Danio rerio: one gene and its partners. The main gene of each other region encodes a partner of the protein of the gene in region 2 in a complex. Links are inferred from orthologs where the notes say so. Each region holds a gene or a part of one and is shown on either strand. Other genes may lie near its edges.

Region 1 (4,865 bases), on a different chromosome or scaffold from region 2:
TCAACAATAAAATAATATTTCTCTTCTTTTATTTTGGTCATGGTATTACTATTAAATTATATTGAAATACTTTGGGATACCATGCTGTAATCAGTTACCACAGAACTACATATTTTTGTAAGGATGCATATGCAAAATCTTTTAAAGGATATTATAAATTAGCTGAAACAAATCAAGGAAATGGACATTTCTTGTGCCAGTATAACCACTGGCAATTTACTCCTTGTTTGTATTCCAGTGAAGACGCAGAGTCTCCAGGGATTGGAATGACAAGCATTTTCCTAAACGACTTCTTAAGCAGTTGTGGCTTTCAGGGCAGGAATTCCAGATTTCCCCTGTTTGCTCTACAGATATAGACCTGTCAGTCACATACAGGGAACTTCCTATTGGTAGGTGGTGGAATGGAGGGCGGAGCTGAGCTCTTAGACTGGTTCCACTGTGAAATTCCGCCTGCAAACATTTTCAGCAGAAACAAGCAAGAGCTCAAAGCAAGCCTGTGGAAAGCTCACCTCCAGTTCTGTCTCCCATTGGTTGATGTTATCCGTGGACTGGTTCAGTTTCTCCAGCTCTCCCTGTGCAGAGATAAAGCAGTGGAGATTGCAGTTAGATGTCAGTGGAACAACATCTGGAAAGTGTTATTGATGTAACCCAATGCTAAAGTGAAGCTGAAATGCGCGCTGATGTTAGCTTCACGCTGATGACACACAGATGTTGTTTTCATTTGCAGATCATGCGTTTGTTTTCCTACATGGGTGGAGGATGAAAAACCAGTTCAACTAGCACAGTCTTCAGCACAAGGCTCTTTGCAGTGCTCTCGTATCAAGAGAAATGCCTTCTTTTATTGTAAAGGACGTTCTTCACGTGCACTTTTAAAGCAAAAGATGTTACAAAAAGATCTTTTGAATGATAAAACAAGCACTCAAGAAGAAGAAGATAAAGTATCAGGACAGACTTTAAGCTCTTAATTCTATATGAGAACTAAAAGAGTTTTCACAGTGATGCCATACAGTAGAACCATTATCATTCATTCATTTTCCTTCGGCTTAGTCCCTTTAGTCATCAGGGGTCGCCACAGCGGAATGAACCGCCAACTATTCCAGCATATGCTTTAAACAGCGAATGCCCTTCCAGCCGCAACCCAGTACTGGGAAATATCCATACACACTCATACACTACGGCCAGTTTACTTCATTCAATTCCCCTAAAGCGCATGTGTTTGGACTGTGGGGGAAACCGGAGCACCAACATGGGGAGAACATGCAAACTCCACACAGAAATGGCAGCGGTCCCAGCCGAGGTTCGAACCAGCGACCTTCTTGCTGTGAGGCGGCAGCACTACCTACTGTGCCACCGCATCGCCTATTATGTTTTATTTTTTTTATTATTCAAATGGACAAATTGTGACTGAGGAAAGTTGAATGTGCTGGCCAGTTTGTTATTCATCTTATAAATGACACAATAAGCTACAGTTTTCAATTTAAAACTTTTTTGTAAAGATATATGATTAATATTTGTCATTTTTTTTTTATTCTAATGATATAAGAAATATGTTTGATACAGCAAAAAGTGTAGTTATGACCCTAACCCTAACCTGACAAGCTAATTCAGCTAAAATGTGTGCTTAATGTCACCTAAATGCAGTATTTAAACCTCATGATTAAATAGAAAATGAGGTGAATAACTGCAAAAAGGTCCACTTATTGAGAAAAAAAACACCATTTTCACCAGGCTAGCTACGGCCCTGTGTAGTTTATTTTGAATAATCAGTTTGAAATGGCATTATGATCCGACAGATCGCACTATTATGTTTTTCGTTTTCTTTTTCATTCTTTTATAACCTATTTTAACTCATTTTAATTTGTTTTTATATGTTTTTAATAATTTTTATTGTCTGCATTTTATGTTCCTAAACTTGTCTTTTTTATTCCTGTTTATGTAAAGCACTTTGAATTGCCACTGTGTATGAAATGTGCTATATAAATAAACTTGCCTTGCCTTGCCTATTATGACTTTAAGACAACATTACTATTTTATTAACTGATTAGTCCTAAACTGCTAACATGATTTCTCTATATAGAATTCGTAAATAATACTTTTATGAAATGATTTTAAGAAGTAAAAGTCTGAATGTGCGAGTATAAGACCAACTTGCCCTTCAGAAACGACACTGAATCCTGCATGCAGTGCACGTGAGATCAATTGTTTCTTTACCAGAGGAAACTGAGTTCTAAATATGACGTCAAAGTAAACATGTATCAGATTGTCAATGCAACAATGAAACAATGTAACATAAAATAAGAGATGATGTAACGATTTGGGGTTCCCCTCATCAAATCAAACACCAGCTGGTTTTTATGACAATCTGAACAAGCATAGGGCTGGAATCGTATATTACACGACAAAATATGCTCGAGTTTTGCAGCTATACGTTTAAAAGCCCGTGCAATTTAACTTCAGTTCAGGTTTTGTCAAGGTTAAATAAGAATAAGTTAGACAATTCCACATATTTACTATGATAGAGCCTGTAGGAATCCCCTCAGCTTTCGTTTTAATCCGCTTTAAGCCTTTTTGTCGTTGTGAATTCTCGCATTGATTTCCATCTCATACCTGAATCCTCGGGTCGACCTCTTCTTCCTCCAGAGACTCCGAGTCTTCATCAGATTTGTTCTCTTTCTCCGGCTCGTTCATTTTGCTTGTAGACGTGATTGTTTTTCTTTACCGGCTGAACAAAGCGTGTCTCTGTCCGGGATAACGGGTTCCAGATCCGCGCATCTGCGGTCACTCCATTAGACAGCCAGAAAACGCGATTAAAAGAGACTAAATCGATCCCTCACATTAGATATGAAAGATATCGTGCTTATACCAACACACACACACCCGTAGAAAACACCGGCAGAAGGAGAATGAGATCTGCCGAGATCCTGCCCGCCTCCTCCGGCACAAACACCCGCTGCTGTGCTCAAGAGGAGGGTCACTACAGTTCACACACACACACACACGCACACAGAGAGAGAGAAACACGGGAAATAACTGCTTTATCTGCGTTTTTTAGTTAGTATTAGTGTAAAAATGTAACAAAAAATATTGCAATACATACTTGAATGATGCTTTAATTTATTTTAATAGGCTAATCAAGTTTCAACTATTTTACTCAAAGTTTAACTTATTATTTGTTGTCAGTTGGTGTAAGTTGAGATGACTAGAAAAGTTAATTTGCCCGCACACTCAATTTTTTTATTTGTATTTTTTATTTTTGCATGTTCAGACTTCATATTTAAAACAAGCTAAACGCAATTTTGGCGATTTTTGCGAGAAACTTAATTTTTTTTTAAAGTTTAGTCCACTTTTGTAACAATAACTTAACTGATTTATGTTGAGACAGCATGAATAGCCGTAACAAAAATCGGATTATCCATATTTCAACCTTATGTTGGTTAAAACAATTTAGAATTACTTAGAGTTTAAGCAAAATGTAAATTCCCGAATGTTCTAATAAACGTCTGTAAAAGTGTTTCCACTGCTTTGAGAAACATTGGGAAATGGCGCTCTCTGGTGGAGAACATTCGACATCATGCATGTGCAGCTCCTTGTAGACGAATAATCCCATCAACAACAAAAATCAACCTGCGATATTTGAATAATTTCATGATTATGTTTTGAGGTCAGTAATGTAATTAGACTGAATTCATAAATTATTGATTGTATATATTATAATTAAAATGGTTTAACATATATTTTTAGATATTATCTGTTAACTGTTTTACATATATACACTAAAAAACAATGAGTTATTTATTTTACCCAATGGTTGGGTTAAATATTTGGTGCTTTGTTGGGTTATTTTTAACCTTTATTAGTTTATATATTAATTACTCAACCAGTTGGGTTAAATATTTGGTGCTTTGTTGGGTTATTTTTAACCTTTATTTGGTTATTTATTTAATAACTCAACCAGTTGGGTTAAATATTTGAGTTTCAACAGTGAACCGATGTAACTGACACAAAACAGCTGTATTAATATGTGTGCGTAATGTTGTTTTTTCTTTATAAAGTTCATTTAAGCTGTAACTCAATAATGTTTTTTTTTTAATCAAATTACCTCTTCGTGTCGTGTTTTTTTTTTTTATCCGTTTCACCAAGACCATCTTTTATAAGTGTTTGTTTGTGGTTAAAATGTATTGTACATTGTGGACACTGAGTAAAGCCTGCTGCAGCTGCTGGACAGCCTCTACAGCACACAGAGCTCCATATTCTGCTCCATCAACACAGGATTTTCTGCCTGCACAGTTTATATCTGTCTTCTTTGTTCTGTTTCTTCATTGTTTGTGATTCCTAATTATTTTAACAAAAGTTTCTGGAACTAAAAGTAAATAAAGCGTTTTCAAATTTTTTTTAAAAGTATGTTATTTATTTACACAGCCATAATTATTAAACTAATAGTAGTACTAACAACAGTAATACCAGAATGGAAAACAATAACATTTAATCAAAATAACCCATTGCATTGAATTAAATTATGCAACCCAATGCACTGGGTTAAAATAACCCATAATTGGTAAGGTGCTATAATAACCTATGGATTATATGGTATTTTGACCCAACTATTTTAACACAGTATATATATACATATTTGTTTGGCGACGCAGTAGGTAGTGCTGTCGCCTCACAGCAAGAAGGTCACTGGTTCGAGCCTTGGCTGGGTGAGTTGGCCTGTTTATTATATTGATATATAGAATACTTAAAGGGAAAGTAAATTAGAATAAGGTAATGATGTTACCGGGTAATTTTAGGACACAACAGCCTTATATTTGCTGAGCCATAGAGTGTCTCAGAATAGTTCACAACTCTCTAACATATGCCTTAAA
Region 2 (4,652 bases):
CCTGCCCTAAGTAATGTTTTTTCAGATTTATGAAAATGTAAACAGTGCCCTCTAGTGAATTTGTAGTTTGAAACGTACAATGAAACGTAACCAGAGCAACGTATTTTACATTTTGCGAAAATGTTTCCCAACCATGTTCCTGGAGACCTGGATTTCCGGTTTCAGAGTCTCTTTTAATGTTCTGGTGAGTTGATTTGGGTGTGCTTGATTAGGAAGAGGTTGAAAATGTTTAATGCTGGTGTGCCTTCAGGAACAGGGTTGGGAAACACTGGCCTAAGACACATATTTTAAATGGGGCTGGGCAAATAGAGAGAAGGATACTGATCCAATATGAATAACTTACTAAGCAAACAAGCCAGCTAATAAATATAGATAACAGTAATGTAGTGGACTACATTGGTCAAGATACTATTCATTACAATAAACTATTGAGGTAAAAGAGTCAAGTCCTTGAAAAAACATTGACAGAGAAGAATTGTTTGCTGAACCGTTCAAGCCACATGGAGACAAAATACCGGCTTCTCAAGGCTTTGTCCTTCAGCAGTTCCCTCACAAAATCACTCTCTTAATCCTAATCAAAATGTCAGCGTACCTGGAGAATACGAGAGTTCAGATGATCGCCGCAACCTCTGACACTGAAGCGTGAGGCGAATATAACCAGGGTACCCAGTGTTGTGGGATTTAACAATATACAGACACAATGGAACAGCCTAATTAGCCATATGGGGTTGTTTTTTGGGGGGGCTACGGATGATTAGTCCATGGCCGTCCCTTAGAATATGCATAGCGCTTTGCCAAAGCCTGCAGTAATTGGCTCATTTTAACAGAGGATACCACAATGTGCCATTGCATTAAAACAAAAGCACAGATTATTAAAGCACCAAGAAATATTTCAGCATATGTCAAATTTCCAGCTTTAAAAAATAGGCAAGGAAAGCCTGAGTGGCTTTTTTTATAGATCTGACATGAATCTTTGATAATGGAACTCTTTGTGTATTCCTTTTGCTTTAATTAGTTTACTGTTCTCACAAATGCAATCGGTTTTGCAACAAACTGCACAAATGTTTTATGCTTCTTTTTTAAACTTATTAAACAGTACATTGCTCCAAATCATTTTGCTTTTGTCATTTAATCAGTAAATTAATGCATAGCCACTTTTACTCTGTACCAAATATATAAAAATATATATATAATATATATTTGGCACAGAGTAAAAAAGTAAAAATACATGTACAGTACATGCACTTTTGAATTATTCCACATAGTTTAATAAAAAGCATAACATATAACGCATAAAGTGGAAACCGAAATAGTCCAAAATACCAAATGGAAAGATTGTTCCATAGTGTGAAGCACTCAGTTGATAAAATGAAGAGTTTAGTAGCAAAAACCTCTAAATGCCGTCTGAAATTTTCCTCTAAAATGATTTTTATCAGGCTCCTGTGTGTATGTTTAGTAGTATCACTTTTATGGCAAAGAATAATTCTCTTTTATGGTCTTTGAAGAGAACTAACTCAACATTAACAAAGGAAGCTGAGAAAAATGTTTATTTTCAATGGAAATTTCAGACGGCACTTAGAGGTTTTTGCATCTAAACTCTTCATATGTAAAATGTTTACTGCTTTATGACACTTTAATAGATTTACACCTCTATGGTAGCCTTCCTAAAAATATAAAATAAGATAAAATAAATATTCAACATCTTAGACCCCAGCATGAACTCAAATATGCATCAATTGCAGCATAAAGCATCAAATGCTAGAACTATTGATTGAAAATAAATATGATTATTAATATCCTATTAATTCCAATATTGCTTCATTGAGAATAAAATGTCATATTGTATCTTACGAAATTTTCAAAAAGGCAAATGTATTTTATTTCAGCTCACAATACATAATATAAATAACTTCAAGTCAATATATTAATGTAATGTAATGTATAAACAAACATAGCCACTTCTGCATCAAAACATTTATATAAATGCCCTTTTGGAATTTTAATAAATTTTGAAGTTATTATTCCATGCAGTCTTATGAAACATTATGCACTAGAGTGCATAAAAATCATTACATCCTGTGATGTTCACTCAATATTTCTTGATATCTCAAAATGGAAACCAAAAATATTTATTATAAAAAATGCTCCATCATGCATCACACATCTAAAAACATCTAAACATGTTTTAATGTTTCATTTCATGCATTTAATATTTAATTGTTGTTCCTAAATAGTGGTTATCCAACCATAATTGGGAATAAACTTCAAATTTGATCAAACTGTGTCAAAATGAGGTGTGTTTTAACCCTGCTTCCTGTTATTCAGGCTTCCAACGTGAACTAAATAAATAAATAAACAAATTACCATATGGCCCATCTCAGACTCCAGCACCTATACACTTCAGTCATCTTAAAAACATCAAATGCGAGACATATTGTGAAAATATACCATATAAAGTATTTTACTAGCAATTCTGCATTTTTTGAAATGCAACATGATATAATATTGGAATCAAACATCCGAAACGCATGTAAATGAATCGACTTTTGCGTAATCACGTCATTGTTGTGACTCCAGATTCCATCAATCCATATTCTAACAAAGGCCTGCGGTCCCTGAAAACAGGACATATGATGATGCAGGACCGCGAGTGATGCAGGAAAAACACGGATGGACGTGCGCTCGCACTCGCTCAGATCTGGTAAACACCGGAGAAATCCTGCCATTTCGGACATCGTTCGACCTTCGTGACGGATCATTTATTTGGCTAAGCCGCGAAAGCATCGACTTCATTAACCTTCATTTCGATCAATATTCATCACCCCACCCTTCAGGTTCCCGCATCAACATCTCCCCACCGACCGACCGACCTACCATTCCGTGCCAGCTGCCCGTCCGATGATCCCGGTCCGGTGACAGTCCAGTCCTGTTCAAAACATCCCGGCAGGCGAATCTTTTAAAAACCACTGTATCAAACAGATGAAAAGAAAGTCTAACGCTGGATTAAAGCCTGAGTTTGCGATGCTGAATCACTGCGCGCTCACCATTGTGCTGCAGGATGATGCCTGTACCATTATGGATCCTACCAGCGTAGTGATGGCAAAACGGGAGGAGGAGGAGGAGAGAGTGGGGGGTGCGGGAGACGGGTTGCCTGGCAACGGGAGGGAGCACACGATGACGTCAAAGACGAGAGCGGTCTCATAGGAGTGAGGAGGAGATGGAAAGGAGCGGCGCTCTGATCGCGCATCTGGAGATTGGCGGATCTTTGCGCACATGACCGCCGACTGCGTGTTTGGAGGCGGGCAGAGAGACAGAGCGAGGCGATTCTTTTGAAGCGATCGGTTCGTTCGAAGAATCAGTTAGAATGAATCGCCTCACAGGAGACTTAGGGGGCGGCTATTAAAAAGTATAACTAAAATCGAATCTAGCGTGTTGTTATCTGGATATGCTTAAAATTGTGAAAATTGTAAAAGCAAGATCAGAACGAGTGAATTAAACAGTATGATATTCTCAAACGATTAATTTTGGTCAAATTTTAGTTTTTTTTGCTCTGGCACACATTGCACTTTTAAATAAATGAACAAACAGAGAAACACACGAAAAAAAGACAAAAATTAGAGTTCAATTGTATGCAGCAGTTATAAATCAATGGAAAGTAGGCTAACATACTCATATGTTATGGTTATTATACTGTAAATATAACCATTTAATCCAAACTATTTTCGAGCATGCTCGAATTAGAAAAACTGACAACGTCCATACAGCAGTACCTTGGACTTTGCCAAAGCCTGCAGTAATTGGCTCATTTTAACAGAGATGTGTTTTAGAGTCACAATGTGCCATTGCATTAAACTAAATGCACAGATTATTAAAGCAACAAAGAAACATATGTCAGATTTCCACCTTCAAAAAAATAACTAAATGAATGAATGAATGAATGAATGAATGAATGAATAAATAAATAAATAAATAAATAAATAAATAAATAAATAAATAAATAAATAAATAAAAATAGGCAAGGAAAGCCTGAGGGGCTTTTTAAATTTCTTATTTGACATTATTTGTCTTTGATATAGGAACTCTTTGTCCAGTTCAGTCAATTTTATTTTGCTTTAATTGGTTTACTCTTTTCTTCAGTGCAGTCCATTTTGCAACAAACTGCACAAATGTTTTATGCTTCGATTTTGAGCTTCTAAAACATTACATTACTCCAAATCATTTAACATTTGTCATTTAAATAGTAAATGAATGCATATGCGATTCTTTTAATCTTTGCTGAAATATATGCATACTTGTGTGCATTATTACAGATGGTTATTAAACTGGAAATATTAATCATTAAATCCAAATTATTTTCAAGCATGCTCGAATTAGAGATGACAAAAACGTCCATAATGTTGTACCTTTATTACTTTTAATTCATTCCTACCTTAAAGTTCTTTCCTGTATAATCTTCCTTTAAATTAAAAGAATCGGTTCAAATGAACGATTCAGTCGCGATTCACTCGCGAATTGAGTACTGCCTTGTAAGTGACACAAAACACTGCACCCATAGTTTGCATGTATGTTTATCCTGGATATCAATGTTTTTTTCTATATAGAATAGCTATTGTTAATATAAAAAAATAAGCTTATACATTTAGAAGATATTA
Region 3 (4,709 bases), on a different chromosome or scaffold from region 2:
GATGTGACTAGATTTGACAGAACATTTACGTATAAGCTAATAATGCCAAATTTTTGCGTAAATGTTGATGATAATAATGTTAATCACTGCATGAAAAGATTGTGAATTACTTATATAAAGTATTTATGTTTCAGTGGCTGAAATACACGATAAACAGTTAGATGTGAATGGTTTTGATTGAGAGAATTTATATTCAATTAAGCTAAACTATCTTAGCATAAACGTAATTATGCTAATTATTGCATAAATAGTTGTGAAAACATACATATTTTACTCATTTTTTTAAGATGATGCCTTCTAAAAATAGTCAGATGTTACTGGCTTTTTATGCTTAATTATGTTAAATCATAGCACAAACGTTATAATGATAATTGCTTCATAAAAAAGGAAGCGCAGCCATAAATAATGGCTTTTTCTTTCAGTTTAATTGGTTAGACAATGACATACATGAGAAACAGTCAGATGTGGCCAGCCTTGACATCCCCCTCAGTGTTGTTAACGCCTCATGCTAATTGACTGCTATGCTAATTGACACTGAACACGGAAAGCCTCCGGTGACCTCATGCTCATTCAAATTCATACAAATTCGGAAATAATCTCTACACATATTCAGACCGCAGTACATGGAAGCTAATGATGTGTCTTTGACCTAGAAATCTATTTTTGCTGTGGGGTAAACAGCTAGCTTCATTCAGTCCGAGAGCGTATGACTCTGCCTCATGGAAAGATAAGTGACTGTGTTGGTTTTTGGGTGGAGAGATGTAAACCACACATACACAATTTACTACTGATGTACTGCTGTTTCTGAATTAAGATAACTGTGATCAATGTAGTCTAACCATACGCATGTTGTTTACTGATATCCCTTTGTGTTTTAATAACGTTTAATTCACGGGGAACGATAGAAATGTCATAAAAGGGATTTCATTGCTAAAGTGACTTAGTTACTGACTCATCGTCATGTCGTTTTAAACTTGGATGACTTTGTTTTTGATATAACACAAAAGAAGATATTTTGCAGAATGTTCAAGCTGTTCTTTTATGTAACTTAAAAGCTATTGCAAAATTGACATTTTGATAACCAAATAAATCAAATAACAAATTCATTTACATTCTATATTAAAATTATTATGGACTATGTTAGGGCTGCACAATATATAGTTTCAGCATCGATATCGCAATGTGCGAATACACAATAATAATAACTATAATAATAATTCCTTACATTTACAGTATATAGCGCTTTACACAAAATTACTTTTTATAAATGTAATGCATCCCTGCCGAATAAAATAAATTTTAATCAAAATTTTTTTTTTTTTTCAAAATCCTGACCCAGAAATGACCTTGAATGCTACTGAAGTATAACTTATTTAAAATGTACAGATAAAGTCAGAATTATTAGCCCTCCTGAATTTTTAGCCCCCTTGTTTTTTTTTTCTCTGATTCCCGAGATTTTTTCAGCACATTTCTAAACATAATAGTTTTAATAACTCATTTCTAATAAATAACTGATTTATTTTACTTCTATACAGCTCAAAGTGACATTTAAAAGCTTAACTAGGTTAATAAGGTTAGCTAGGCAGATTAGGGTATTTAGGCAAGTTATTGTATAACGATTGTTTGTTCTGTAGATTATCGAAAAATAAAGCTTAAAGAGGCTAATAATTTTGACCCTTAAATGGTTTTAAATTTTTTTGAAATTTTCTAGCCAAAATAAAACAAATAAGACTTTCTCCAGAAGAAAAATATTATCAGACATACTGTGAAAAATTCCTTGCTCTGTTAAACATCATTTGGAAAATATATAAAAAAAATAAATAAAAAAATTCAAAGGGGGCTAAAAATTCTGACTTCAACTGTTAGAGTATGAATCAAAAGTAGCAATAAATCTAAATAGGTTCTGACTCCTGAAGCGCTCGGTCAGATAATGCAGTGAGCCATGAGTTCATCAGCCTATTGGAGATAAGCTACAGGACCAGAGCAGATGTTGATTAACTCTTATAGGCTTGTACAGGTGGTACTTTGGCACACTTCCCGAAATCATGGTAAGCCTGACACTACAAACCAGACTAAAGACCAAAACACTGAATCAGAATGGGAATAATTATGTTGGCTTGATATGACATCTCAACATGTGAAATACATTAAAACCTGCTAAAGCAAAACATGCTAAATACATGTTGGCTAATACTATGTAATAAGTAGTTGAAATAAGCATAAATGTCAGGGAAAAACATCTAAGAGGCCATTTTAAAACACATTTTAAAAGATGTTAAGATGTTAATAAAATATTATTGGTAACATTGTGCTAAATGAAGTATCAACATGTTAACGTAATATAAAACATTCTGTCGTAACATGCTTACAATTGTTATGTTAAAAAGTTAATATTATCAACAATATTTTATGTTAGCACAGTTTTGAAGTTATAACATGCTAGTTAACACAATGATAGCAATTCAAGCTAGCAAAATGTTAAAAATGTCTGCATGTTTGAAAGGTGTTGAAACACTGTACAAAACCGCATACTTTCACATTAAAACATACTAGCAACGTTTAATCATGCTGCTAATGTGCTAACACTACTGAATACCTTGGTATCACGTAAAACATGTCAAAAAACATGTCAAAACATTTTAACGTGAATTCATGTTAGCAAAAGGCTAAACATGTTAACTACCTTTAACGCTACAAAACATGTCAGCAACTTAATCAATTGGCCTACGATAGCCATGTGCTAACTAGAGAATTCTAAAAAGATAAAACTTTAATGTACTGACCTTATTTCATTAAAACTTTTCAAAGTTAGCCTATTAAACTCAGAGCAAGTTTTGTCAGGTCAATATTGACATATTTGTCATTAAACATAACTTATCTAATTTGTAATAATACTAACGTTACCTACTACAATAGCCGTTACTACAGCAACTGAAAACTCCAGGATAAAGAAAAAGTAATTAACAGATAGCAGAAAAAAAAGATATAATGTTAGGCTATAAATATATTTAATTAAATTTACTCAACACAAAAAGGCAAACATATTGCATAAGTATCCAAATAAAACCTTAATTAAATAATACATAAATATTAGGCCTATCGTTTTGTTGTATAAAGTTTACCTCACTGTCTTTATATAACAGATTCGTCATTTTTTGTATTTGACTTACTTGAGTGTCGAGGTCGAGATGGCCGAGTGTAATTCCGTTTTCATCCGTGATTTCAGTCACTTCAGACAGATCATCATCCTCATATTCATCCAGACTGATATCATGAGTCAACCTGAAGAGCGCCAACACACACTACGTCACGGTCATACTTCCACGAGACTATCACTAGACAATCACACACAATTGACTAATTATAACTTTAGGACCACTGTGCAAACACAAAACCCTCCTTTTCCCTAAATGCTTGAGTAAAACGCATTTTTTAGCCTGTAAATGACTAACGTCACTTTTTTCAAGCGGTCATTTAGAGCCGGTTTTTAGTCGTATGTATAACATAACAATAACACGATAATGAATAAAAACTTAAAAATAATTGTATGAATGCATATTTATAGACTTAATCCAAGAGGGAAATCATATTGGTCAGCATTATTATAAGATATTGCTTGGAAAGGAACATGGCTTCCCCGATATAAATATGTAATCCCAAACAAAGCAAAGGAAATCCATTTTAAAATTCTACACAAAACATACCAGGTCAATGCATTTATCTCAAAATTTACTGACATTGCAATTACTTGTTCTTTCTGTCAGGAAAATTAGCAAACTTTGACTCGCATGTTTTTTATTTGTAAAATCTCACAAAAGTTTTGGTCAGATCTATATTTGAATAAATCACAATCAACAAAACAAACCTTTAAATTGAAACCTATTATTTGTAGTCACAAGAAGAAAAAATAATGAATTTATATATATATATATATATATATATATATATATATATATATATATATATATATATATATATATATATATATATATATATATATAATCCTCTCCCTCATTTGCCCAATTTTTAATTGAAATTCATTCCTTGATTAAAGCTACGTTTATCTAACAACAAAAAATTATATATATATATATATATATATATATATATATATATATATATATATATATATATATATATATATATATATATATATATATATATATAATTATATATATATATATATATAATTATATATATATATGTGTGTGTGTGTGTGTGTGTGTGTGTGTGTGTGTGTGTGTGTGTGTGTGTGTAAATACATACACACAACAATATAATATATTCTTATTGAAATAGTTTATAAACACACAAGAACTATATGATAACACACAAAGAATACATATGAAAAATGAACATAGAATTCTGCTGCAAGAAAGCAGGACCAAAAACAAAAGTATTCTTTTAAAAACACTGCTTTGACTTGCTTAAGCACAATGACATTTTACCTAGCATTTATTGAAAAACTGTATTACTGTATCTATTAACATCAATCTACCTAACATTTTTTGTAAATCTGTATTCTGATAAATTCAGGTCTAAAAGCACTTAATTCACAGTACTTCCTGTAAATAGCCCAGTCGTCCACATTTTTCCGTATACCTCATGTAACAAAATCAGTCAAGCGATTGAACAAAACCACAAACACCTTTTTTTGTGCCACAAGAAAACTCAAAGCAAGTCTAATTTTAGATTAAAAACCTTCACAT

What was found. The genes of interacting proteins can lie anywhere in the genome.
Region 1: the proteins of mapk10 (region 2) and sh3bp5a are in contact, whole or in part, in a crystal structure (PDB 4H3B), measured with the Homo sapiens proteins. The link is inferred for Danio rerio from reciprocal best matches to the Homo sapiens genes MAPK10 and SH3BP5. Residues at the interface, in NP_620448.1 of Homo sapiens: Lys121, Asp150, Ala151, Gln155, Val156, Met159, Leu161, Glu164, Arg165, Tyr168, Tyr171, Val197, Lys198, Ser199, Asp200, Cys201, Trp362, Asp364, Glu367; in NP_004835.2 of Homo sapiens: Val341, Val342, Arg343, Pro344, Gly345, Ser346, Leu347, Asp348, Leu349, Pro350.
Region 3: the proteins of mapk10 (region 2) and mapk8ip1a are in contact, whole or in part, in a crystal structure (PDB 3PTG), measured with the Homo sapiens proteins. The link is inferred for Danio rerio from reciprocal best matches to the Homo sapiens genes MAPK10 and MAPK8IP1. Residues at the interface, in NP_620448.1 of Homo sapiens: Asp150, Ala151, Gln155, Val156, Met159, Leu161, Glu164, Arg165, Tyr168, Leu169, Tyr171, Val197, Lys198, Ser199, Asp200, Cys201, Trp362, Asp364, Glu367; in NP_005447.1 of Homo sapiens: Pro158, Lys159, Arg160, Pro161, Thr162, Thr163, Leu164, Asn165, Leu166.

Annotation. Positions count from the first base shown.
Region 1 is NC_133194.1:2,323,276-2,328,140, reverse strand, and holds the start of sh3bp5a (SH3 domain-binding protein 5), read right to left. Parts: upstream 2,979-4,865; 5' UTR 2,689-2,978; coding exon 2,608-2,688; exon of another isoform or gene 573-2,607; coding exon 510-572; exon of another isoform or gene 239-509; intron 1-238. UniProt on the Homo sapiens protein: Functions as a guanine nucleotide exchange factor (GEF) with specificity for RAB11A and RAB25. Inhibits the auto- and transphosphorylation activity of BTK. Plays a negative regulatory role in BTK-related cytoplasmic signaling in B-cells.
Region 2 is NC_133196.1:10,935,609-10,940,260, reverse strand, and holds the start of mapk10 (mitogen-activated protein kinase 10), read right to left. Parts: upstream 3,088-4,652; 5' UTR 2,878-3,087; coding exon of another isoform or gene 2,875-2,877; intron 1-2,874. UniProt on the Homo sapiens protein: Serine/threonine-protein kinase involved in various processes such as neuronal proliferation, differentiation, migration and programmed cell death.
Region 3 is NC_133200.1:14,770,523-14,775,231, forward strand, and holds the start of mapk8ip1a (C-Jun-amino-terminal kinase-interacting protein 1a), read right to left. Parts: upstream 2,979-4,709; 5' UTR 2,784-2,978; intron 1-2,783. UniProt on the Homo sapiens protein: The JNK-interacting protein (JIP) group of scaffold proteins selectively mediates JNK signaling by aggregating specific components of the MAPK cascade to form a functional JNK signaling module. Required for JNK activation in response to excitotoxic stress.